Saccharomyces cerevisiae S288C: one gene and its partners. The protein of the gene in region 4 binds, or shares a complex with, the protein of the main gene of each other region. Each region holds a gene or a part of one and is shown on either strand. Other genes may lie near its edges. A codon is read from its position in the direction of its gene.

Evidence for each region.
Region 1: RFC3 (region 4) and CTF18 share a complex: the UniProt entries of both Saccharomyces cerevisiae proteins name them as parts of the CTF18-RFC complex.
Region 2: the proteins of RFC3 (region 4) and RFC1 are in contact, whole or in part, in a crystal structure (PDB 1SXJ), measured with the Saccharomyces cerevisiae proteins. Residues at the interface, in NP_014109.1 of Saccharomyces cerevisiae: Asp120 (codon at 4,441), Met122 (codon at 4,435), Thr123 (codon at 4,432), Asn124 (codon at 4,429), Ala125 (codon at 4,426), Gln127 (codon at 4,420), His151 (codon at 4,348), Lys152 (codon at 4,345), Leu153 (codon at 4,342), Pro155 (codon at 4,336); in NP_014860.1 of Saccharomyces cerevisiae: Glu635 (codon at 3,406), Gln636 (codon at 3,409), Trp638 (codon at 3,415), Ser639 (codon at 3,418).
Region 3: RFC3 (region 4) and DCC1 share a complex: the UniProt entries of both Saccharomyces cerevisiae proteins name them as parts of the CTF18-RFC complex.

The regions. Positions count from the first base shown.
Region 1 is NC_001145.3:422,003-426,512, reverse strand, and holds CTF18 (Ctf18p), read left to right. Parts: upstream 1-1,784; coding exon 1,785-4,010; downstream 4,011-4,510. Other genes in the region: phosphatidylinositol/phosphatidylcholine transfer protein SEC14, read right to left, coding at 454-1,359, 1,516-1,524; ESCRT-III subunit protein VPS20, read left to right, coding at 4,364-4,510. UniProt on the Saccharomyces cerevisiae protein: Essential for the fidelity of chromosome transmission. Required for the DNA replication block checkpoint.
Region 2 is NC_001147.6:747,798-752,386, forward strand, and holds RFC1 (replication factor C subunit 1), read left to right. Parts: upstream 1-1,503; coding exon 1,504-4,089; downstream 4,090-4,589. Other genes in the region: RUD3 (Rud3p), read right to left, coding at 1-1,182; STE13 (Ste13p), read right to left, coding at 4,417-4,589. UniProt on the Saccharomyces cerevisiae protein: Component of the ATP-dependent clamp loader RFC complex for the POL30/PCNA homotrimer DNA clamp.
Region 3 is NC_001135.5:92,159-99,915, forward strand, and holds DCC1 (Dcc1p), read right to left. Parts: upstream 3,606-7,757; coding exon 2,463-3,605; downstream 1-2,462. Other genes in the region: LEU2 (3-isopropylmalate dehydrogenase), read left to right, coding at 1-260; NFS1 (cysteine desulfurase), read right to left, coding at 619-2,112; BUD3 (Bud3p), read left to right, coding at 4,123-7,757. UniProt on the Saccharomyces cerevisiae protein: Component of the RFC-like complex CTF18-RFC which is required for efficient establishment of chromosome cohesion during S-phase and may load or unload POL30/PCNA.
Region 4 is NC_001146.8:83,281-91,015, reverse strand, and holds RFC3 (replication factor C subunit 3), read right to left. Parts: upstream 4,799-7,735; coding exon 3,776-4,798; downstream 1-3,775. Other genes in the region: CCR4-NOT core subunit CAF40, read right to left, coding at 1-713; PCL1 (Pcl1p), read right to left, coding at 2,280-3,119; MID1 (Mid1p), read left to right, coding at 5,201-6,847; pseudouridine synthase PUS4, read right to left, coding at 6,999-7,735. UniProt on the Saccharomyces cerevisiae protein: Component of ATP-dependent clamp loader (RFC and RFC-like) complexes for DNA clamps, such as the POL30/PCNA homotrimer and the checkpoint clamp DDC1:MEC3:RAD17 complex.

The DNA of each region.
Region 1 (4,510 bases), on a different chromosome or scaffold from region 4:
CTACTAATCTCTTTGCTAAAACATGTTGCAACCAAATAGGGCTACCATTGTACTTCTAATGAATACTCTTTACGGCGCACTGCAATGCGTAATAAAGTTTTATTGTAGCGAGGTTTCATTTTTGCTTATGTTCTTTTTATTGTTTAATACGTGCATATGTATTCTATAAGATAAATGTATATAACTGCCAACAAAATAAACTAAAATCAAGGTATGGCTGTAGAAAATGATACCACAGATAATAAAATAATAAATAATCTAATAGCTGAGTGGAAGAAAAAAAAAAAATAAAAAAAGAGTAGTACAAACTAAGGAGATAAAAGTGTGAACTATGCCTATTCAAAAAAGTAGAATAGAGTAAATAAGCATACTTGTACTTATCTCAGTTGTAAAATATCGTTACTTAGAACTCCTCTTTTCTCTCTCGAAAAAAAAATGTCTTTAAAAATAATATCATTTCATCGAAAAGGCTTCCGGAGCTTCACCTTCCGGTCCAATATACTTTGGATCCCTCCATGGACCGATATCGGATAGGTATAACCCACCCTTGGATTCATCAACTTCAGACTTACCGCCAAATTTGACTGGTAAGTTTTCAGCTGGAATTTGCTTTAATAATTCCTTCTGGTAAGAAGAACCCAAGATAAAAATCTTTGAAACAGTGACTGGATCCAAGAAAGGTTTAAATAGCCTAAATGCGGTAGAGAAACCGAATGGCGCGTTGATGATGTAAAATTTACCCATACGTTCGGGGTAATAGTTTTGACTTATGTAGGAGGCTTCCCTAACATATGACATAACACTGTATGCACTAGATATGGAGATACCTTTCAAATCCATAATTGTACATGAAGTTTCCACTAGGTGACCAGCAGCTCTTGAACAGGCAGGTAATCTGTATTGAACGACAGATTCGTATTCCCAAACCAAGTTTTTCAACATCCTCTCTTCAGAGGTAACCTTGTTCATTTCATGTAAGTTAACAGCACCTAATTCTTCAAAATATACTGGGCGGCCATCTTTATCGGTTTTATGATAATATTGTGGGTAGAATTTGGCAATCAATGGTTTTTCATCATAATGAAAATCTTGCAAGATAGTGTCGGTACCATAATCCTTCCTCCATTTTTCGCAGTTTTCAAACATTTCTTTAGCCAATTGAACATCAAATTTTCTGGCTCTCAAAAAACGTAGTAAAGTTGAATCGTCTAAACGTTCAATGAAACCAGCGTCTTCCAAAAGTTTTCTTAGTTCTGCCAATGCCTTCTCTTGAGCGCTGTCTAAATTTCCTGGAGTACCAGGCAAGGCATCTGGAGGACAGTTTTGAGGGTAGGATTCTAAAAATTCCTTTTCTTGTTGCTATTTAAAGTGAAGTCATAGTAATACCACTTGTGTTTGTTAGTAAACTTATTGATATATCATTTTTGCTTCATATAGACAGAACTATCTGAAGAATGTGAATATTGTCACAATGAATGTCAAAAAAAGAAAAAGTAAATAAAAGCAACAACATACTGTAACCATTGTGTTTTAGGGCGATGAAGGTTTGGTTTGATGCTACAGGCGCTGGTCAAGCGATATACCAGGAAAGGACACTTAAGACACAAACAAAGGAAGATGTACCATTTTATTGTTGATCAACGTTGAAAAAAAAAATGTGGAAAAAACGAACTAGCCAGTCGCGTTGTACGGAACATCTAACACGTAAATAAACATGATTTCATATATTTTATTCCTAATGTGTACACTATTTGACCCAAAAGGTGGATGTAAGGTCAGGGATCATGGTTGATACCGCACCATACATTGGTTCACTAGGGAGAAGTTCCCTTTTTGATACTGGTGATATAGAACAAGCCCCTGGTAATAATGCAATTGGTATTAATGAGGAAGATATTCACGCGTTTGTATCAAGTACTGGCGAAACGGTTCAATTAAAGAAGAAGCCTGCGAAGTTAGCAACCGGGAATATTAGTCTATACACTAACCCAGATACTGTTTGGAGATCAGACGACACGTACGGCATCAATATAAACTATTTGTTAGACAAAATTGAGGCATCTGGCGATGACCGCACTAACGCACAAAAGACTTCACCTATAACTGGCAAGATAGGTAGCGACACACTCTGGGTAGAGAAATGGCGTCCTAAAAAATTTCTAGATTTGGTTGGTAATGAAAAGACAAACAGGAGAATGTTAGGTTGGTTGAGACAATGGACGCCGGCTGTGTTTAAAGAGCAATTACCCAAATTGCCAACCGAAAAAGAGGTCAGTGATATGGAACTCGATCCATTGAAAAGGCCACCAAAGAAAATTTTACTACTGCACGGGCCACCAGGAATAGGCAAAACCTCAGTAGCTCACGTTATTGCCAAACAATCAGGGTTTTCTGTCTCAGAAATCAATGCAAGTGATGAAAGGGCTGGACCTATGGTAAAAGAGAAAATATATAATCTTTTATTCAATCATACTTTCGATACAAATCCTGTGTGCTTAGTGGCGGATGAGATTGATGGAAGTATTGAGAGTGGATTTATTAGAATTTTAGTTGACATTATGCAAAGCGATATTAAAGCCACTAATAAACTATTATACGGTCAACCAGATAAAAAGGACAAAAAGCGCAAAAAGAAAAGGTCTAAATTGCTTACGCGACCTATTATTTGTATTTGCAATAATCTATATGCTCCTTCTTTGGAAAAGCTGAAACCATTCTGTGAAATTATTGCTGTGAAAAGACCTTCCGATACTACCCTACTAGAGCGATTGAACCTTATCTGCCATAAAGAAAACATGAATATTCCTATAAAAGCAATCAATGACTTAATTGATTTGGCTCAAGGTGACGTAAGGAATTGTATAAACAATTTACAATTCTTGGCCTCGAATGTTGATTCAAGAGATTCCTCTGCATCAGATAAACCTGCTTGTGCAAAAAATACGTGGGCGTCATCCAACAAGGACTCCCCCATATCATGGTTTAAAATCGTGAACCAATTGTTTAGAAAGGATCCACATCGTGATATAAAGGAGCAGTTTTATGAATTGCTAAACCAAGTAGAGCTTAATGGTAACTCTGACAGGATATTGCAAGGCTGTTTTAATATATTTCCCTACGTAAAATATTCCGACAATGGTATAAGAAAGCCAGCAAACATTTCAGATTGGCTATTTTTCCATGATTTAATGTACCAATCAATGTATGCGCATAATGGCGAATTGTTACGTTACTCCGCCCTTGTGCCCCTAGTCTTCTTCCAAACGTTTGGCGATATCGCAAACAAAGATGATATTAGAATGAAGAATAGTGAATACGAACAACGTGAATTAAAACGAGCCAATTCAGATATAGTTAGTCTGATTATGAGACATATCTCGGTTCAGTCCCCACTAATGGCAAGTTTTACGGATAGAAAATCGTTAATCTTTGAAATACTACCATATCTAGATTCGATGATCTCTTCCGATTTTAATAAAATAAGGAACCTGAAACTCAAACAAGCCATCATGGAGGAATTAGTTCAATTGCTGAAAAGCTTTCAACTGAATCTAATCCAAAATCGGTCAGAAGGATTTGATGTAAGGGGTGGCCTAACAATCGATCCCCCAATCGATGAAGTCGTATTGTTAAATCCTAAACATATTAACGAAGTCCAACATAAACGGGCTAATAATTTGAGTTCACTGTTAGCAAAGATTGAGGAAAACCGGGCCAAGAAAAGGCATATAGACCAAGTGACTGAGGATAGACTACAGTCACAGGAAATGCATAGCAAAAAAGTCAAAACTGGGTTAAATTCTTCCTCAAGTACAATCGACTTTTTCAAGAATCAGTACGGATTATTGAAGCAAACTCAGGAATTGGAAGAGACACAAAAAACTATTGGATCAGACGAAACCAACCAAGCAGATGACTGCAATCAAACGGTTAAAATATGGGTGAAATACAATGAGGGGTTCTCTAACGCTGTCAGGAAAAATGTGACTTGGAATAACCTGTGGGAATAAATGACGTAAGATATATACGCAGTCTCTCTTAAGAAGCATACTTGTATATGGACCAGCAGCTTACATAGAAATCTAAAAGAAGTAAATAAAGAACATTAGCAATCAATCCTGCCGGTAGTCGCAACAGCTCCGATTTTGTCACGCAGCGTTCGTTTTTTATTCGTGATCTTTTACCCTCTTCGCTATCGTTCTTATTTCTACATAAATGGAACCCCGAAGAGCAGAAAGACCGAAAATCGAATTACTATCTGTGGGATACAATATAGCGCATAGAAAAGAACAAAACATAGATAGTTTGGAAAAATAGTACAGACTGCTGAATTAACTCCACTTGGTGCTTTTGTATATATCGAATGGGCCAAAAAAGTAGTAAAGTGCATATAACCAAAACAGATAGGGCGATCCTAGAAGTAAAACGATCTAAAGATGAAATTCATAAGTTTACGAGGAGGACAGATAATTTGATTTTGGTAGAGAAGAGTCAACTAAAAGACCTAATA
Region 2 (4,589 bases), on a different chromosome or scaffold from region 4:
CAGTGCCTTTGTTAAATGCTCATTTAGTATAATGGCTTCGTGACGTAGTTTTCCGATCTGTAAGATGTGCTGCTTAGATTCTTCCTCATATTTTTCCTTCATAGAGGCGTCCTCCTTCATGGCTTCTAGCTGTTTTTTCATGCTTTCTAAAGCTTCTGTGTCATTGTTGTGCGTTTCTATCTCCGTGTCAAGTTGGGATCGTAAAGATTTGACTTCCTGGTCTCTCTCTCTAGCCTCTTCTTCCCTTTTGTTGTCAACTTCTTCTATCTTCAATTCCAGATCATTTAGAGAATTCTTTAATACTGCTTTCTCCTTTTCATGGGATTCCAAAGCCTGTCTCAATTCATCTCTTTCTGTTCTCAAGTCAGATATATCTTGTTTATTATTTTCTAAGATTATCATGAGTTCCTGAACTTGGAGATTTAATTGATCTTTTTCCTTCCTGTAAGTGTTAAGTTCCTTACTATGTTTTTCAATTATGTCGTGTTTTTCATCTTCCAAAGCTTCTATCCTTGATTCGTATTCCAAAAAAACCTCTTCTGTACTTTCTTGCTCCTTTTCTAGGTTTTCTAACTCTGTATTTAGGGTCACAATCGTGGATTGTAATTCAGAGTTTTCGGTCTTGGTAGCTTCAAGTTTCTTCTTCAATTTCAGATTTTGTGATTCATATTCAGTAAGCTGCTCCTGCACTTCCTCTAATTGTTTTTGTGCTTCTTTCATCTTATTAAAAATTGATTTCATAGAAGATATCTTGCTCAATAATGTGTCATACTGTGTTTTGAATTCGTCTCTTTCCTTAATAACATTTGCTAGTTCATTTTTGAAGTCTTCATTAGGCGTTTCTTGATCCTTCTTGTGGCTTAGTTCCAATTTTAAACGTTCAATTTCTTCCCTTAGTTCCTTCATCTCATCACCAGCCTTTTTGTCCTCTAAAGGATTTATGGTGTCTACAGTCAGGCCGTCATTTACTTTTTGTTTGTCTACTCCTTCAGAGAGATCTTTCCCCTCATCGTCCGGGCTTGCCACGATACCATCAGCCTCTGGATCTGTGGACATTTTTGGAGGAACGGTGACGTTTACAGAATTGATGATTTCTTCAGGTTTATTGACGGTTTCATCAACGTCCTCCACATGAGGATGACTCTTGGCCTTCTTACCTGTTTTCTTCTTATTTTTACCCATTCTAATTAAAAAAAATGCAATTGTTTGAGGGGATCAAGTGGAAAGTATACACAAGCATCTACTATATAGCTGTTTATACAAGATTTTCTTGTTCTTCATGAATGGTCTTTCTGTTTGTTTCCATTTTTCGTATCGAAATGAGCACGAAATTCAAAAAGAAGTACTGAAAAAAAAATCAACATGAGAAGGAACAGCCGATCTCTCAGCGAAAACAGTGGCTTCGTTGAATACGCTGCTTGATCCTTACACAATAAGGAATTGGGTATCTCGCAGTTAATTTTATAACTTCAAGTCACTTCATAATAAACTAAGCTGAAGAAAATGGTCAATATTTCTGATTTCTTTGGTAAAAATAAGAAATCCGTAAGATCGTCAACATCCAGACCTACGAGACAGGTGGGTTCGTCTAAACCAGAAGTTATCGACTTAGATACTGAATCTGACCAAGAATCAACCAATAAAACACCAAAGAAGATGCCTGTAAGTAATGTAATTGATGTATCAGAGACACCTGAAGGAGAAAAAAAGCTACCTCTTCCCGCTAAGAGGAAGGCCTCTTCACCAACTGTAAAGCCAGCAAGTTCAAAAAAAACCAAACCCTCCTCTAAAAGTTCAGACTCGGCTTCGAATATTACGGCTCAAGATGTACTAGATAAGATTCCATCCTTGGATCTGTCAAATGTTCATGTGAAAGAGAATGCTAAATTTGATTTCAAAAGCGCAAATTCAAATGCGGATCCAGATGAAATTGTTTCTGAAATAGGTAGTTTTCCAGAAGGAAAGCCAAATTGTTTATTAGGTCTAACAATTGTCTTCACAGGTGTTCTGCCAACCTTGGAGCGTGGTGCATCGGAAGCTTTAGCGAAAAGATACGGAGCAAGGGTTACTAAATCAATTTCAAGCAAAACTTCTGTAGTAGTCTTAGGTGATGAAGCAGGGCCAAAGAAACTAGAAAAAATCAAGCAATTGAAAATCAAAGCCATAGACGAAGAAGGCTTTAAGCAATTAATTGCTGGGATGCCTGCTGAAGGTGGTGACGGGGAAGCTGCCGAAAAAGCACGTCGAAAATTAGAAGAACAGCATAATATTGCTACCAAAGAAGCAGAATTGCTTGTTAAGAAAGAAGAGGAAAGGTCGAAGAAGCTTGCAGCCACTAGAGTTTCTGGTGGCCATCTGGAGAGAGACAATGTGGTTAGGGAAGAAGATAAATTGTGGACAGTAAAGTACGCACCAACGAATCTACAACAGGTCTGTGGTAACAAAGGAAGTGTAATGAAATTAAAAAACTGGTTGGCTAATTGGGAAAATTCAAAGAAAAATAGTTTTAAACATGCTGGTAAAGATGGCTCTGGTGTTTTCAGGGCTGCAATGTTATACGGTCCTCCTGGTATTGGGAAGACAACTGCTGCTCATTTAGTTGCACAAGAGCTTGGGTATGACATTCTTGAACAAAACGCTTCTGATGTTCGCTCTAAAACTTTACTTAATGCCGGTGTTAAAAACGCTCTTGATAACATGTCTGTAGTGGGATATTTCAAACACAACGAAGAAGCTCAAAATTTGAACGGGAAACATTTTGTCATTATCATGGATGAAGTTGATGGTATGAGCGGAGGCGATAGGGGGGGAGTTGGCCAGCTGGCACAGTTTTGTCGTAAGACGTCAACTCCATTGATTCTAATTTGTAATGAACGTAATTTACCAAAAATGAGACCATTCGATAGAGTATGTCTTGATATCCAATTTAGAAGACCTGATGCTAACAGTATCAAATCAAGATTAATGACAATTGCGATCAGAGAAAAGTTCAAACTTGATCCAAATGTCATTGATAGGTTGATACAGACTACAAGAGGTGATATCCGCCAGGTTATTAATCTACTTTCAACGATATCTACGACTACTAAAACCATAAACCATGAAAATATCAACGAGATCTCAAAGGCATGGGAAAAGAATATTGCCCTAAAACCCTTTGACATTGCCCATAAAATGTTGGATGGACAAATATACTCAGACATAGGTTCAAGGAACTTTACACTGAATGATAAGATCGCATTATATTTTGATGACTTTGATTTCACACCCCTAATGATTCAGGAAAACTATTTATCTACAAGACCAAGCGTTTTGAAACCCGGCCAGTCACATTTGGAAGCAGTTGCTGAGGCGGCTAACTGTATTTCATTAGGTGATATTGTCGAAAAGAAGATTCGTAGTAGTGAGCAATTATGGAGTCTTTTGCCTTTGCATGCTGTTCTTTCATCTGTTTATCCAGCATCAAAAGTTGCCGGCCATATGGCGGGAAGAATCAATTTCACAGCTTGGTTGGGCCAAAATTCTAAATCTGCCAAATATTATAGGTTACTGCAAGAGATACATTATCATACAAGACTAGGTACATCTACTGATAAAATTGGACTAAGGCTGGATTACCTACCAACTTTTAGAAAAAGATTATTGGACCCATTTTTGAAGCAAGGTGCTGATGCAATTTCATCTGTCATAGAGGTAATGGACGATTACTATTTGACCAAAGAAGACTGGGATTCTATTATGGAGTTTTTCGTAGGTCCTGATGTGACCACAGCCATTATCAAAAAGATACCAGCTACGGTTAAAAGTGGATTCACGCGGAAATACAACAGTATGACACATCCAGTCGCAATTTACAGAACAGGTAGTACTATTGGTGGTGGTGGTGTTGGCACCAGTACTAGCACCCCCGATTTCGAAGATGTCGTTGACGCAGATGACAATCCAGTTCCCGCAGATGATGAAGAAACACAAGATAGTAGCACAGACTTGAAGAAGGATAAACTTATCAAGCAGAAAGCCAAACCTACGAAGAGGAAGACTGCCACCAGTAAACCTGGTGGTAGCAAAAAAAGGAAAACGAAAGCATGATTTATTCATACACTAAGATTATAATTACACTTTTCTTCTCATTGATTTTGTGAGCCGTTCTATCACAGATACGAAAACTGTGTGGTGATAATAGCTCGATGGGTATCATCACCGCCCTATATAAAATACTCTTATTAGTATAGTACACAAAATAATGTACCTGTACGTACAACCGTCGTTAAATATTACATTTATTAGGTCTAACATTTGTACCTAATATGTCATTCCAAAATTATGCGTTGCAATTGAGAAACTTCATATTATTATATTATTAATCGCGTGTTTGTCTCTATCGTTATCGTTAATATCGCAATCATCCATAAAGTTTTATAAATGCAAAACTTCAGTGTTGTCAAAGCGTTCAGCAAAGGCATCCCTTAACCAATAGTATAGTTTTTGGAATACAATTCTTTGAGCGTTGTGGTACCGGATGGAATGATCAGAGTCTGGAAAAATGTGCATGTCATAGTTCGTCAATCCCAATAGATTCAGTTGATCAA
Region 3 (7,757 bases), on a different chromosome or scaffold from region 4:
CCGCATTTGGTTTGTACGAACCATGCCACGGTTCTGCTCCAGATTTGCCAAAGAATAAGGTCAACCCTATCGCCACTATCTTGTCTGCTGCAATGATGTTGAAATTGTCATTGAACTTGCCTGAAGAAGGTAAGGCCATTGAAGATGCAGTTAAAAAGGTTTTGGATGCAGGTATCAGAACTGGTGATTTAGGTGGTTCCAACAGTACCACCGAAGTCGGTGATGCTGTCGCCGAAGAAGTTAAGAAAATCCTTGCTTAAAAAGATTCTCTTTTTTTATGATATTTGTACATAAACTTTATAAATGAAATTCATAATAGAAACGACACGAAATTACAAAATGGAATATGTTCATAGGGTAGACGAAACTATATACGCAATCTACATACATTTATCAAGAAGGAGAAAAAGGAGGATGTAAAGGAATACAGGTAAGCAAATTGATACTAATGGCTCAACGTGATAAGGAAAAAGAATTGCACTTTAACATTAATATTGACAAGGAGGAGGGCACCACACAAAAAGTTAGGTGTAACAGAAAATCATGAAACTATGATTCCTAATTTATATATTGGAGGATTTTCTCTAAAAAAAAAAAAATACAACAAATAAAAAACACTCAATGACCTGACCATTTGATGGAGTTTAAGTCAATACCTTCTTGAACCATTTCCCATAATGGTGAAAGTTCCCTCAAGAATTTTACTCTGTCAGAAACGGCCTTAACGACGTAGTCGACCTCCTCTTCAGTACTAAATCTACCAATACCAAATCTGATGGAAGAATGGGCTAATGCATCATCCTTACCCAGCGCATGTAAAACATAAGAAGGTTCTAGGGAAGCAGATGTACAGGCTGAACCCGAGGATAATGCGATATCCCTTAGTGCCATCAATAAAGATTCTCCTTCCACGTAGGCGAAAGAAACGTTAACACACCCTGGATAACGATGATCTGGAGATCCGTTCAACGTGGTATGTTCAGCGGATAATAGACCTTTGACTAATTTATCGGATAGTCTTTTGATGTGAGCTTGGTCGTTGTCAAATTCTTTCTTCATCAATCTCGCAGCTTCACCAAATCCCGCTACCAATGGGGGGGCCAAAGTACCAGATCTCAATCCTCTCTCTTGGCCACCACCGGATAGTAAAGGTTCTAATCTAACTCTTGGTCTCCTTCTTACATAGATGGCACCTATTCCCTTTGGACCGTAAATCTTGTGAGAAGAAATTGATAGTAAATCAATGTTCATTTCATTGACATCAATGTGAATCTTACCATAGGCTTGTGCGGCGTCAGTATGAAAGTAGATCTTATTCTTTCTACAAATTGCACCAATTTCTTTAATAGGTTGAATGACACCGATTTCATTATTGACAGCCATCACAGAGACGAGACAGGTATCTGGTCTAATGGCATCTTCCAATTCCTTCAAATCGATAAGACCTTGATCGTCCACATTTAGGAAAGTGACTTCAAATCCCTCCTTCATCATGGCCCGTGCGGCTTCCAAGACACACTTGTGTTCCGTTCTAGTGGTGATGATGTGTTTCTTAGTCTTCTTATAAAATCTTGGGACACCCTTAAGAACCATATTATTAGATTCGGTCGCTCCCGAAGTGAATATTATTTCCTTGGGGTCGGCATTGATCATCTTTGCTACGTGAGCTCTAGCATTTTCCACAGCAGTATTTGTTTCCCAACCGTAAGAGTGAGTGTTGGAATGAGGATTACCATAAAGTCCCGTATAAAACTTCAACATCGTATCCAAAACCCTAGGGTCTGTTGGTGTAGTGGCTTGCATGTCAAGATATATGGGACGAGTACCAAAACCTGTGTTTTCTTGATAAGCATGGCTCATTGCAGTGCTACCAGAAGCTACTACAGCATCTGGGGTGGTACCGGATGCACTCGCACGGGCACTAGCCTGTGCCTTTGCAGCAGCCTGAATATCGGTATGCGTTTCCAGAGAGAAGTTGTCGTCTAACTTCACGCCTGCTGCAGGAGGGGAATAGAATCTCCTGCTTACCAAACAAGCCCTATATGTGGCCGCTGGAACGTTGTAAACTTGAGATAATCTTGTTATCGATCTTGTAGCAGTTGATTTCAACATCTTCCAGTTGTAGCAGTTCCTTCGTGTATGCGATATATTTTAATGAAAATGATGTATCTGAAATAGAAAATATAACACACTAATGAACTCTGTCGGTCTTTACTCTGAGTGAGTTACTTAGATAGTCATCATATATCCCTGGGCGATGGCCTTACTATTTGTCAGCGACCGTATCTAAAATTGGTAGGTCACTATCAACTATTGCGGGTAATAGGGTGCATAATAGTATTGTAATATATATAAATATATAAAGCTACTATGATAGATATTTGTTGCTATTCACGTCATCCACTATTACTTTAGTGGTTCCGCTATATATTCGCATTGCCCATCGAAGGCAGTTTTGTGTGCTACCTGCTCGTGACCACGGTCTTTTTGCCCAGTCTTTTACGGCGGGCATACTTCATGATGAAACTGTCTATTTTCATACCTCTTGAATTTAGTTCTTCAATTAGAGGCTTGATATCCTCCAAGTCCCACTGTGACTGTAGCCTAAACAGGACTTTAAACCGTTCTTTGGGGTCCATTGGTAGTGTGCTTTTCGCTATATACTGGACAGTCTTATCGGTAGGCTTGAAATGATAGCCTCGCAGCATGTCAATGTCAATGTCACATGGGAAGAAAGGTGGGAAAAGGGACTTCCACTTGATGAGGAACTCATCAATTGGCATGCTTATTCCAGAAACATATTTCCTTAGCGCTTGAATCCCGTACCACTGAGCTATAAACGGTATTCTCAAGCGCCACGTATTGTTTTCAGCCTCTTGCTCTTGAACAGCAAATTTATTCAGCACTGTTTCAATGATTTCTCTTGTGTATGGATTGAACTCGTCCTCAATGTCCTTCCCCACAGCGTGATGTGTATCCTCAACATTCAGATGCTGTAGATCGAGTGATTCTGCCATTGCGCTCATCAGTAGTACATGCAGTGCTTTGAAAAGGAAGTCTTGTGAAAGAATACACAACACACCGTCTTTCACAGATCCACCAATCTTATGCCATTTTGATATACCTTCTAGCGCAGAACATGGTGAGTTCTCAAGTAGTTCTTCCAGGGTCCCGATAACCTTTGTAGATGACCTCTTCATGATTTTGTCGGAGAAATCCAGTTCTCCGTTGTATATTGGTACTGAATTCAAGTTCAATTCGCCATGTGTCTCTCTGGTCTCAAATTCTGATTCAGTCTTGGCGAATCCCACGACGTCCATGTACGGCTTGGACAGTCCAAACAAGAGCGTTTCGTCGAAAGTAATAGGTTGTTCAGGAACAAATTCTCTCATTAGTAGAACTGTGTTTGAATGTTTGCGCTGCTTCAGCACCCAAGTCTTGTCGTGCGAACACAGTACAACTTCAGACTTGTCTTTGTCCAATGACTTAAACCTTAACTGGTGATTTTGAACCGGATCCTGTATTATATCCAGTAACTCTGGTGTCAACTGGATCAGCTTATAAGATGGATCATACTCGGGTGCGGAATGTAGGTTGATGGACATGGTACAGGATTATTAGTGAGCAAATCTCTGGTGGATTTTTACCGTTCATCTCATAGTGCTTTTTTAGTTTATTTTTCACTTTTTTCTGGTTATACTATACGCTGCCTACTGAAGCAATAAGCAAGAAACACAACAGTATAAAGGGACAAAGATAATAAACCGCCTACTACTAAATAATATCGCTGTGGTATGCTACTCCTAGAGATTTCGATCACCATCGTGGTGCTCTTTGTCATACGCATAGAATTGACAAAAAAGAACCCTAAGCTATAAATTAGGTCATGTTGAGCGATTGCCAGTTGCCAAGACCTAGGGTTTTGTTCGAACAATTCTAAAAAGGTAAATAAAAACAATGGTAAACAAAGGCTTTGATCTTCAATGAGGAAGATTTCTCTCACTGCGGATAGTAAAAACAACACTAGTTTGTCTGTACTCGCATTCTACTGCTGCTACCTGCTACTCATTACGTGTTCGGGCTGTTATCTGGTTGCTAAAAGAGTATATTTACACCTCACCAATGGAGAAAGACCTGTCGTCTCTTTACTCTGAAAAGAAAGACAAAGAGAACGATGAAACCTTATTTAACATCAAACTATCCAAATCTGTTGTCGAGACCACACCGCTAAATGGTCATTCATTGTTTGATGATGATAAATCACTTTCAGACTGGACGGATAATGTGTTCACTCAATCAGTATTCTATCACGGGTCAGATGACTTGATATGGGGGAAGTTCTTTGTCTGCGTGTACAAGTCCCCCAACAGCAATAAGTTGAACGCTATAATATTCGACAAATTAGGAACATCATGCTTCGAATCCGTCGATATATCTTCCAACTCGCAATACTATCCGGCCATTGAGAATTTGAGTCCAAGTGATCAGGAAAGCAATGTTAAGAAATGCATTGCTGTCATTCTGTTACAGCGCTATCCATTACTTTCACCATCAGACTTATCACAAATATTGTCCAATAAATCGGAAAATTGCGACTATGACCCCCCTTATGCTGGAGATTTGGCTAGTAGTTGCCAGTTGATAACAGCAGTTCCTCCAGAAGATCTGGGGAAGCGCTTCTTTACATCAGGACTTCTGCAAAATAGATTTGTCAGCTCTACCCTGTTAGATGTTATTTATGAAAACAATGAATCCACCATCGAACTAAATAATAGGTTGGTATTCCATCTGGGTGAACAACTTGAACAACTTTTTAACCCAGTCACAGAATACTCACCGGAACAGACAGAATATGGTTATAAGGCGCCAGAGGACGAATTACCCACAGAATCGGATGATGATCTTGTCAAGGCCATTTGCAACGAGTTATTACAACTACAAACAAATTTTACTTTCAATTTGGTAGAATTTTTGCAAAAATTCCTGATCGCCTTGAGAGTCAGAGTACTCAATGAAGAAATTAATGGGTTATCCACAACCAAATTAAATCGACTCTTCCCACCTACAATAGATGAAGTCACAAGAATCAATTGTATTTTTCTAGACTCGCTAAAGACAGCAATCCCTTACGGTTCCCTCGAAGTACTGAAGGCATGCAGCATTACTATTCCTTATTTCTACAAAGCATATACAAGACACGAGGCGGCCACAAAGAACTTCAGCAAAGATATTAAATTGTTTATTAGGCATTTCAGCAATGTAATTCCAGAAAGAGAGGTCTACACGGAAATGAAAATCGAGAGTATAATTAAGGGACCTCAGGAAAAACTACTGAAGCTAAAGTTAATTATAGAGAGATTGTGGAAGTCGAAAAAATGGAGACCGAAAAATCAAGAAATGGCAAAAAAATGCTACAACAATATCATTGATGTCATTGATTCGTTTGGAAAATTAGATTCCCCACTTCATTCTTATAGTACCAGAGTATTTACTCCATCGGGAAAAATCCTTACAGAATTAGCCAAATGCTGGCCCGTAGAACTGCAATACAAATGGCTGAAGAGAAGGGTAGTCGGTGTGTATGATGTAGTGGATTTGAATGATGAAAATAAGAGAAATTTATTAGTCATATTCAGTGATTATGTGGTTTTCATCAATATACTGGAGGCAGAAAGTTACTACACTTCAGATGGATCAAACAGGCCCTTAATCTCAGATATTTTAATGAACTCATTGATCAACGAAGTTCCGTTGCCCTCCAAGATCCCTAAGTTGAAAGTGGAGCGTCATTGCTATATAGATGAGGTTCTAGTTTCTATATTAGACAAAAGCACTCTACGTTTTGATCGATTGAAGGGAAAAGATTCTTTCTCAATGGTATGTAAATTATCCTCTGCATTTATCTCTTCTTCGTCAGTTGCTGACTTGATTACGAAGGCTAGAATTTTGGAAAAAGACACTGCATTTCATTTATTTAAAGCTAGTAGAAGCCATTTTACATTATATTCTACTGCTCACGAGCTTTGCGCTTATGATTCCGAAAAAATAAAATCAAAATTTGCCTTATTCCTGAACATACCACCATCCAAGGAGATATTGGAGGTCAACAACCTTCATTTGGCTTTTTTTGCAAGATTTTGCAGTAACGATGGTAGAGATAACATCGTAATCTTAGACGTCTTAACCAAACATGACGATAAACATATAGAAGTTACATCCGATAACATTGTTTTCACCATAATTAATCAATTGGCCATTGAAATACCGATATGCTTTTCTTCCTTAAACTCATCGATGGCCAAAGATTTACTCTGTGTAAATGAGAATTTGATAAAAAACTTAGAACATCAATTGGAAGAGGTCAAGCACCCTTCAACAGACGAACATAGGGCTGTTAATAGCAAACTTTCCGGTGCATCCGATTTCGATGCTACTCACGAGAAGAAAAGATCATACGGTACCATAACAACATTTAGAAGCTATACAAGCGACTTGAAGGACAGTCCATCAGGCGATAATAGTAATGTCACCAAGGAAACTAAGGAAATTTTACCAGTGAAACCTACGAAAAAGTCTTCAAAAAAACCAAGAGAAATTCAAAAGAAGACCAAGACAAACGCCTCTAAAGCAGAGCACATAGAAAAGAAGAAGCCTAACAAAGGCAAAGGGTTTTTTGGCGTGTTAAAAAATGTTTTTGGAAGTAAAAGCAAGAGCAAGCCTTCACCAGTTCAAAGAGTGCCTAAAAAAATATCGCAGAGGCATCCTAAGTCTCCAGTGAAGAAGCCAATGACCTCAGAAAAGAAATCCTCCCCTAAAAGGGCAGTCGTTTCATCTCCCAAAATTAAAAAGAAAAGTACTTCTTTTTCCACAAAAGAATCACAAACTGCTAAATCTTCTCTTCGAGCAGTTGAATTCAAATCTGATGACTTGATCGGAAAACCACCTGATGTTGGAAATGGCGCACATCCTCAAGAAAATACCAGAATATCTTCAGTAGTAAGGGATACAAAATATGTCTCCTACAATCCCTCTCAGCCTGTGACAGAAAATACCAGTAACGAAAAAAATGTCGAACCAAAAGCGGATCAATCCACAAAGCAGGATAACATTTCCAATTTTGCAGATGTAGAGGTATCTGCGTCTTCTTATCCTGAAAAACTTGATGCAGAAACAGATGATCAAATAATTGGGAAGGCGACGAATTCGTCATCAGTTCATGGAAATAAAGAGCTGCCAGACCTTGCTGAGGTGACTACAGCAAATAGGGTTTCTACAACATCGGCTGGGGACCAACGTATTGATACCCAAAGCGAATTTTTACGTGCAGCTGATGTTGAAAACTTAAGTGATGACGATGAACACAGACAGAATGAAAGTAGAGTTTTTAACGATGACCTCTTTGGTGATTTTATTCCTAAGCATTACCGTAATAAACAGGAGAACATTAACAGCTCGAGTAATTTGTTTCCAGAGGGAAAGGTGCCCCAAGAAAAGGGCGTATCAAATGAAAACACTAACATATCTCTCAAAACTAATGAAGATGCATCTACATTGACGCAGAAACTCTCTCCACAAGCGAGTAAAGTGCTGACAGAAAATTCTAATGAATTAAAAGATACCAACAATGAAGGGAAGGACGCAAAGGACATAAAATTAGGAGATGATTACAGTGATAAAGAAACAGCGAAAGAAATAACTAAACCAAAAAATTTTGTTGAAGGAATAACTGAACGGAAAGAAATATTCCCCACTATTCC
Region 4 (7,735 bases):
ACGTCTTGTGAGTCATTTTTGACCAATGCGCCTATCACACCTAATGAAGTCAATCTCAAGTACTCAAAAGTTCTTTGCCTGGAGGTAGTATTTAGGAAGGGGAAAAGAAAGAGAGGAATATGGGCCTGTAAAAAGAGATGTTTTGTCTCTGGGTGAGATGCAACACACTGTAGAAGAACTAGAGCGTTGCATACACGATTTGATAGATTGTTAGAGAGCATCTGAGGTTGCAGCATGGGATATACGGAAATGATTTCGTTCAGCAATGAGGTCATTACACCAAAGGAAGACCAAAGCACAACGGCAAGGTCATCAAACTGTTCTCTTTTGCGACCTAATTCAAGCAGTGCTTGTTCCTTTTGAGGGCCGTAGGTCAATTGACAAATCCAGTGGTATACATTGGGATCATCTAGAGCATGCACTGCGCCTCTATTATTGACCATGTTGGGATTGTTTCGAGTTGCGTTAGCATCGTTACCGCCGTTATTGCCGTTATTGCCGTTGTTCTCGCCATTTTCATTGCTATTATTATTATTCGGAGTATTGCCCATTAGCATGGGGCCTCCACTTGGAATTTGTTGATTCATGCCTGGACCCATTGAAGTTGGAACCCCAGGCATGGACATAGATCCTGGATTATTAGTTGAAGGACCACCACCACCCATGTTCACGCCTGCTCCATTGCCATATATTGGCTTTTGAGCGGAAAACATATTAACTTATTCAGAGGATGTTCAGTTGCTGTCGTTGTTGCTTCAGGAACAAAGTTTAATCTCGTCAAGATCAGCAGAAACACACACACTCGCAAATTTGTCAAAACTTGGGAGTTTTAAAAGATGAACGGTTTCTAACTTGCGTACTCTACGTCTTTGCAATCCCTTTACAATGTCTTCTATGCGTAAATTACTTTAAATTTGGATTTTGCCTCTTGCTGCTCGCAGCAAAATTCTCAGCATGTTGAGGTGTGTGGGTGGAGTTTTTCCTCTCCTGCTAGTAATACTTATGCAAGAATCTACGTCTAATGAGGTGCTCACGTTTTGCAATGATGATATAAATAGGGACAGTAATCTAATATAGACAAGTGGGCGTAATAGGGTTTTCTTCTCTCTCTTATGCATTCTGTAAGCATCTCGCTTTATGTGAGGAATAGTAGTAAAAGCGTATGATACAGGGAAATAGTAGTACTTTTACAATAGTATTGCTACTTGCATTCCCAAAAACATTCAATAAATGCACTTGGTTTCGAGCGTCTTTTGTTTATTTTTAAGTTTTGTTTGTTTTTTTTATTGTTTTGCTTCGTAGTTTCAATTTTAAACATTAATGTGTGCAAAAACTATAAGACAATGGTATACGCAAGAAAAACTATAAGTAGCATATTTAGTCTACTCCGAGCCATATCGGAAAGAACAATGTCGCGTCTTGCAAAGGCTGTTAATACATAGAATAGGCCACTCCAGGCATGTAAATACATGATTGATTGGATGAGCAACACTGAAATGGACCAGTGGCAACCTAACAGGATTTCTGATCTATTTCACGCCCAGAAAAAAGGCGTACATTCTATAATCTACTTAACAGACCTATACAAGCACTGTCCTACATATTTCAAAAGATTTAATTTACATATCGATTCCGTTCAACGTAAACAGTTTGCTCATAATACAGTCACAGATGTGAGAGAAAAAAAAAAAAGAAAATAAAGGAAAATGGATCAGAAATTTGGGTATACTTAATGCTTCATAGGACACCTGAGTACTTGTGGCATCCATGTTCAGACTGGTGCACAGCTTTTTTCTCGTCATTTACCATTTTTCCTTGAATTCATGTTTAATTTTCATCTTCGTCATGTGTTAAGGTACTATTACGAAACAAAATGTTAACGCCTTTGATAAACTTATCAAAGTTACGAGACCGGTTCGCACTACGATACTTTGCTATTGCTTCATTTTTTCTATCATATGTAAAACATAAACCACTGAGAGAAAACTTCTGCATTTAAATCAAATATGTCCGCCTTTTATACTTTAAGAAGAAAAAATTTATCTTTTTTCTTCCTCATATTGCAGGTATCACCCGAATGGAAGTTATAACGGCACAATCACTTAGGGCTTAACATACAATAACAAATACCATTTTTAATGTTGTGTTCAGTTGATTGTTATTATTATTAGGTATCCTTGATTATTTAAATTTATAATATATTATGTATCCGTTAATTATGCTCTATTAAAAATCTTTCTCCCACTAAGAGCCCCGTAAGGGCCATCTTGTTTACCACATTAAAACCCATGTTGACTCATGATCTGTTCCAGATCCCAACTTTGCCTGTTGACATTGTCGTTCCATTTCTCTACCGTCCTGACGTAATTCGTGTTAGCGACTGTGTTGTTCGCTATGTTGGTTACATCTTTTAGCCTTCTTAGATCATTACAACTGTCGACTAGAGTAGCAGAACTTAAATCGGATGCTATCGACACGTTTCTCTGTTTTTCGTAGAGTTTGAATCTGTTGTTTGATCTGATAGGACTCGTGCCAGCACAAGTCCTTCTGTTCATGGACATCATCATGTTAATTCTCTTCCTTTGGTCGCTGGATCTTGCCAAGTCTTGCTTGATGGGCTCTAATAGAGGCTGCAGATCTAGGATCAAATCTTCTGTGTTCACCCTGAGGTCCCAGTTCAACAGCTGTAACAACTGCCTTTCCATAAGGTTGATATCCTCTAGTGTAAAGAGACCATCGGTGTACCTAGCCCAGTGCTTGTTTAAAGGAGAAGAGTCATTGTGAAACTTAGCACTCAGTATCAAACAGGCCAAGAAAATGCGATGGATGGTCGAGGGGAGACCAGTAGCGTCCCTGGGCAGAATACGCTTTAATTTGTTCAAATAGCACGCAGCGGTGAGCAGAGTGGGTGTGTAGACGTTGGTGTATCTGACCAATCTAGTGATAAAAGTCATTAGCGATGGCAGCCTTGTGAGGTGTTTCTCTCCTGGAGAACCGGGAGGCGTGGGGTAGTTGCTTGAAGGAACAACCCTCAATGTTGTGTCTGTTAAGAATTTTATTATGTCATCCGTTACTGGCGACTTGAGCAGAATATGAAGAGCCTTGCTGTATTCACACATTTTATTACTTTACTGTTATTTGTATAATTGATTGTTTTTGTTATCGTTTTTGTTCTTGACAATGGATGATTGCTGATGTACGCAATAGTAATTCCAAGACACAAGAGTTAAGGACAAGCTTATCAATCCCATTACCATGTAGGCCTATTGACCTTATATATGTTTTCCTATCGCTATATGGAAGCTACCATTCCTTTTATTCTCCATAATAACGCCAAAATCTGCCCACAGCCTTGTAGCCTCATTTGGCTCCCGACATTTCGAGTCGCTTTTGCGTCGCATGCCTCCGCGAAAAATTTCGCGCCGGACGCGATTTTTAACACGAAATTCTTGTTCGTGCCGCTGTTGCCCTTTTGGGAAATATTTCCCGATCTGGCATTCGCAGAACACTAGAGCCAGAGTTCTGCCATTCTTTACGTCCAAGAGGTTAAAGTACAGATCACGTAACGGAATGCTACTTTCTGTAACAATTTGGCGATTCGCATTCTCAGTTGTTAGCTAGACGCCAATTGATTTACGGTTTCCGGTATGCAAATTGAAAATGCTTTCATCTATTTCTTTTATTTTTTTTATTTCGTTCTGGGCGTTGTGTTATGTTGTTATATTGCACAATGCAGTTGTTCTGTACATATTGTATCTATACATATTTGCGTCGATTATACGTTGGCTTTAACAGTTTCGTTCTCGAAGCTGGCCTTGATGGCGCCAATGACCGCGCTGCCCTGAATCTGGTCGTTGCCACCCTTGGATATCGAGTACTCTATATCGGCCAGTTTGGTAAGCAAATGCACTCTTGTTTCCTCATTTTGAAGTTCGTAGTCTTCCAGTATCTTCACTATGCCCTCGATTAGGTCGATCAACGCGAGACCCTTGGCACTGCGTACCTTATTAAGTGTGTAGTGGGCGGTACCCCAATCGTCCTCCAGTATCGACTTCAATACTGCCTTTAAGTCACTTGGTCTGGGTGCCCCACAGCATTCATAGATAACGTCGTCACTGATCTCATCCTCGTCGGGATTGTCTAAAGTAGCTTTGCAAGACTGCAAAACGTTTAACACACGTCTCATATCCCCATTAGAAAGTTCTATTAAGGCCTTCTCCGCATTAGGAGACAACTTCAGCTTCTCATGCACCAAGACGTTGGCTATCCGACGCTCAATGGCCTCTTGGGGCAAGGGCTGAAATCTGAATCTCGTGCACCTACTCAATAACGCAGGTGTAAGTTTATGCGCATAATTGGCCAATACACAGAACCGCGTATTCTTGGTGTACCGTTCTATAACTCTTCTCAACGCATTTTGTGCGGCATTGGTCATGGCATCTGCTTCATCCAGTATAATTAACTTGAACCCTTTAGAGAAGATTTGTCTTGTAGAGGCAAAGTCTTTAATTTGATTCCTCACCACATCAATACCTCTGTCATCGGATGCATTCAGCTCCAAAACCATGTTCGAGTAATTCTTACCATATATCTCACGTGCCAAAGCAACAATTGTAGAAGTTTTACCGGTACCTGGAGGCCCATAGAATAGAAGATGTGGCAATTTACCTTCATCTACAAATTTACGAACTGTGGTGATCACCTCATTTTGTCCGTACACTTCGTCCAACGTTTCGGGTCTGTATTTTTCAACCCATGGAAGGTTTTCTTTGCTCCTCTTCTCTGTACTTGTCGACATTCTTGTATGTCGGGCCTGTTCCTACACCTTTTATAAAATTATTCAAGCTTTGAAAAGATATTTATCCTGTGCTCTTTATAGCTTCTTTCCATTTCTTTCAAAATCGCGTACTGACCAAAAAAAAAAAAGATCAAAATTGAGAAGCCATACATAATATAATAATGATATAGTTTCGCTGCCATCGGACCGCAATAGTAACTCTACAAGTAAACGTGTTGTTTTCTCAAGAACAGGTTACTGAAACTGAGCCATTGGTTGCGGAAAATTTCCCTAATAATTTCGACCGGCTGACGTACCGTTTTGGCTATTTCTCAAATACTTGACTGGCTTAACTGCCATACTGAATTGCAGTAAAACCCGTAACACTACAATTTCTGTCCAGCGGCAGTATTATTTCTAAGGATGATAGTGTGGCAAGCACTATTCGTGGTTTACTGCCTATTTACCACTTCTATTCACGGTTTATTCCAAGACTTCAATCCTTTCGCAAATAAGAATATTTCCTTAAAGTTTCCCAGCCTAAATAGATGGGAGAAAAACGTTATGGCTACTGGTCAACAAACAATCATCAATTCGGATAGCATTTATGAATGGACCCCGATCTTATCTAACATAACAGCGGGCAAAAAAGACAGTTTTGTATTTACCATTGACGCAGAAGCCTCCGGTTATGGGTTTGCTCCCACGTATGAAGTGTTAATGTTTATTAGCGGCAATATATGCCAAATGCCCATGAATAGATCAGATGTGGATTTAACAATATACTACTCTTTTAATGAAACGGTTTTAGAGAACCCAAATATAGGTCAAAGTGCAGTTTTTCAGGATGGCTACATCCAAGCATTAGCCATCAGTCCAGTGCAGTCTTCTAGCTCGAACGCTACCTCCACGTATTCAAATCTTTATGTGGTCGCTGAGCTAGTGAATTCCACTACGGAGCAACCTCTGTCCAGTTCCGACGCCTCTGAAAATTGGGAATATAGACTGAGTATCTCTGAGAACGATTTGGTTTTTCAGTGGGATGTAAGGCCTTGGGTAGAGGTCCTGGACACTGATATGAATTCTGCATTACTATCAACGGGGAATGTCACCGCAGACGCCAAAGTTTATCACAATTATTCAATATATGATCCATCCTTGTACGATCTGTATGTTTACTCGTACGAAGATTCTGTTCAACTAAACCAAAACTATAATTTATCTCTTTGTGCTGTGAAAAATGGACCATATTTAGTGTCTTCCCAAAATACATCAAATGCAACAGTTACGTCAAATAGTACAAATCCTTTAGAGCGTACTGACTTGGCGATTCAAAAAAAAATTACAGAATATGGTGGTAGCGTGACAGAAATGTTTTACGTGACAGGACTGAATGCCTCAACAACTTATGTAGCGTACCTGACAAAGAAAATCAGTAATGGTGATGGGTTGTCAAGTGTGGGCGGCATTTTATTTTCACATGTTTATTTTACCACAAGAAGTACCGATGTCTGCTCTTTGATCTTTGGTTTGGACTTCTGCAGTGACGTCGCTTACTCTGTTCCTACATCCTCATTTTCTGTGGGTAATAAAACTCTCATGGCGCAGACATATGACCACATTGCAGAGGCACTATATGCAAATTTTAGCAAAGCTCTACAGTTAATATCCTGTGACGCAGACAAAGACGCAAGATATTCTCCGGTCATGACTTGTGACGATTGTGCCGAAGCTTATCGTGATTGGGTATGTGCAGTATCAATTCCGAGATGCACCACGACGTCTTCCCAATACTACATCCACAGAGATAAAAGTCACAACCGTAATGATTATTTGAATAAATTTATTAAACCTTTGGATGACTATTACGAAATTCTACCTTGTATTGACATGTGCTATACATTAGTACGAAATTGCCCAAGCGATTTTCAATTTTCCTGTCCGAATGATCTTACTACGGAAGATCTTCTTTATCAAAGTTACAATTTCTATATGGACACTGACTACTCAACCTGTAATTATATAGGTAACTCATCCTTGATGGTAATTCATCCATTGGACGATACGTAGAAGAGACCGAACTATCACAAAAAAATTGAACGATTTAAATGCATAAGTACATCGATTTTTTTTAAATCATATATACACATAAAAAAATAGATAAAATGAGAGCGTAGTCTTCACAAGACCAAAAAAAAAAATGGTTCGAACTTCCTCTTTTTTACACCTGTTCGATTTTTCTTTTTAGTGTATTAGAATGTTCTTCGGCGTTAGCAGTTTCAATTGTTTCAGCCGTAGCCTCATCACCAGGTTGATCACTCGAAACTATACATTCCTTCACGTCCGCTGGTATTTCCTTTTCTGCTTTCTTTAGCTCTTCTATAACATCAACAGTTGCTCCCTCGTCTAGAACCTTCTCCAGTACCTTACTCCACACCTTCTCGTCTCTTTCAGTAAAATCCGTTAATTGGAACACATTATTTTTTTCAAGAGACCAGTCCTGCTGTTGCAAACGTATCAATTTCACCATATAACATGAGCTCCTCATAGATTTACCGATGTCGCTCACTAAGGACCTTATGTATGTTCCAGAAGACACATTAGCTTTGAAGTGCAATTTTGGAGCCCTATAAGAATCTCCTTCTTTTTGGATTTCTTGCTCTTCTTGTTCACTCAGCGGAAATGGTTCTTCTACCTTTGCCACCTCAGAATCAAGGCCGTGCTTCTCTGTATATTCTTTTGAAAAGTATAAAACATCGTTTAGCATGTTTGCATTCAAATTTTTCACGGTATCAACAGCTTCTTCTGTAGTGGGCCTCAATAAGGGATAGTCATGATCACGTTTAAGAGAGTCTGAAAACACCTTCAAGTCATAAATAGTAACTTGTCTGGGCTCAATGGCTCTAGGTAAAGGCTTTCCTTCTCGAGCATATTCATGCAGGGGTTTGCCATCCATCT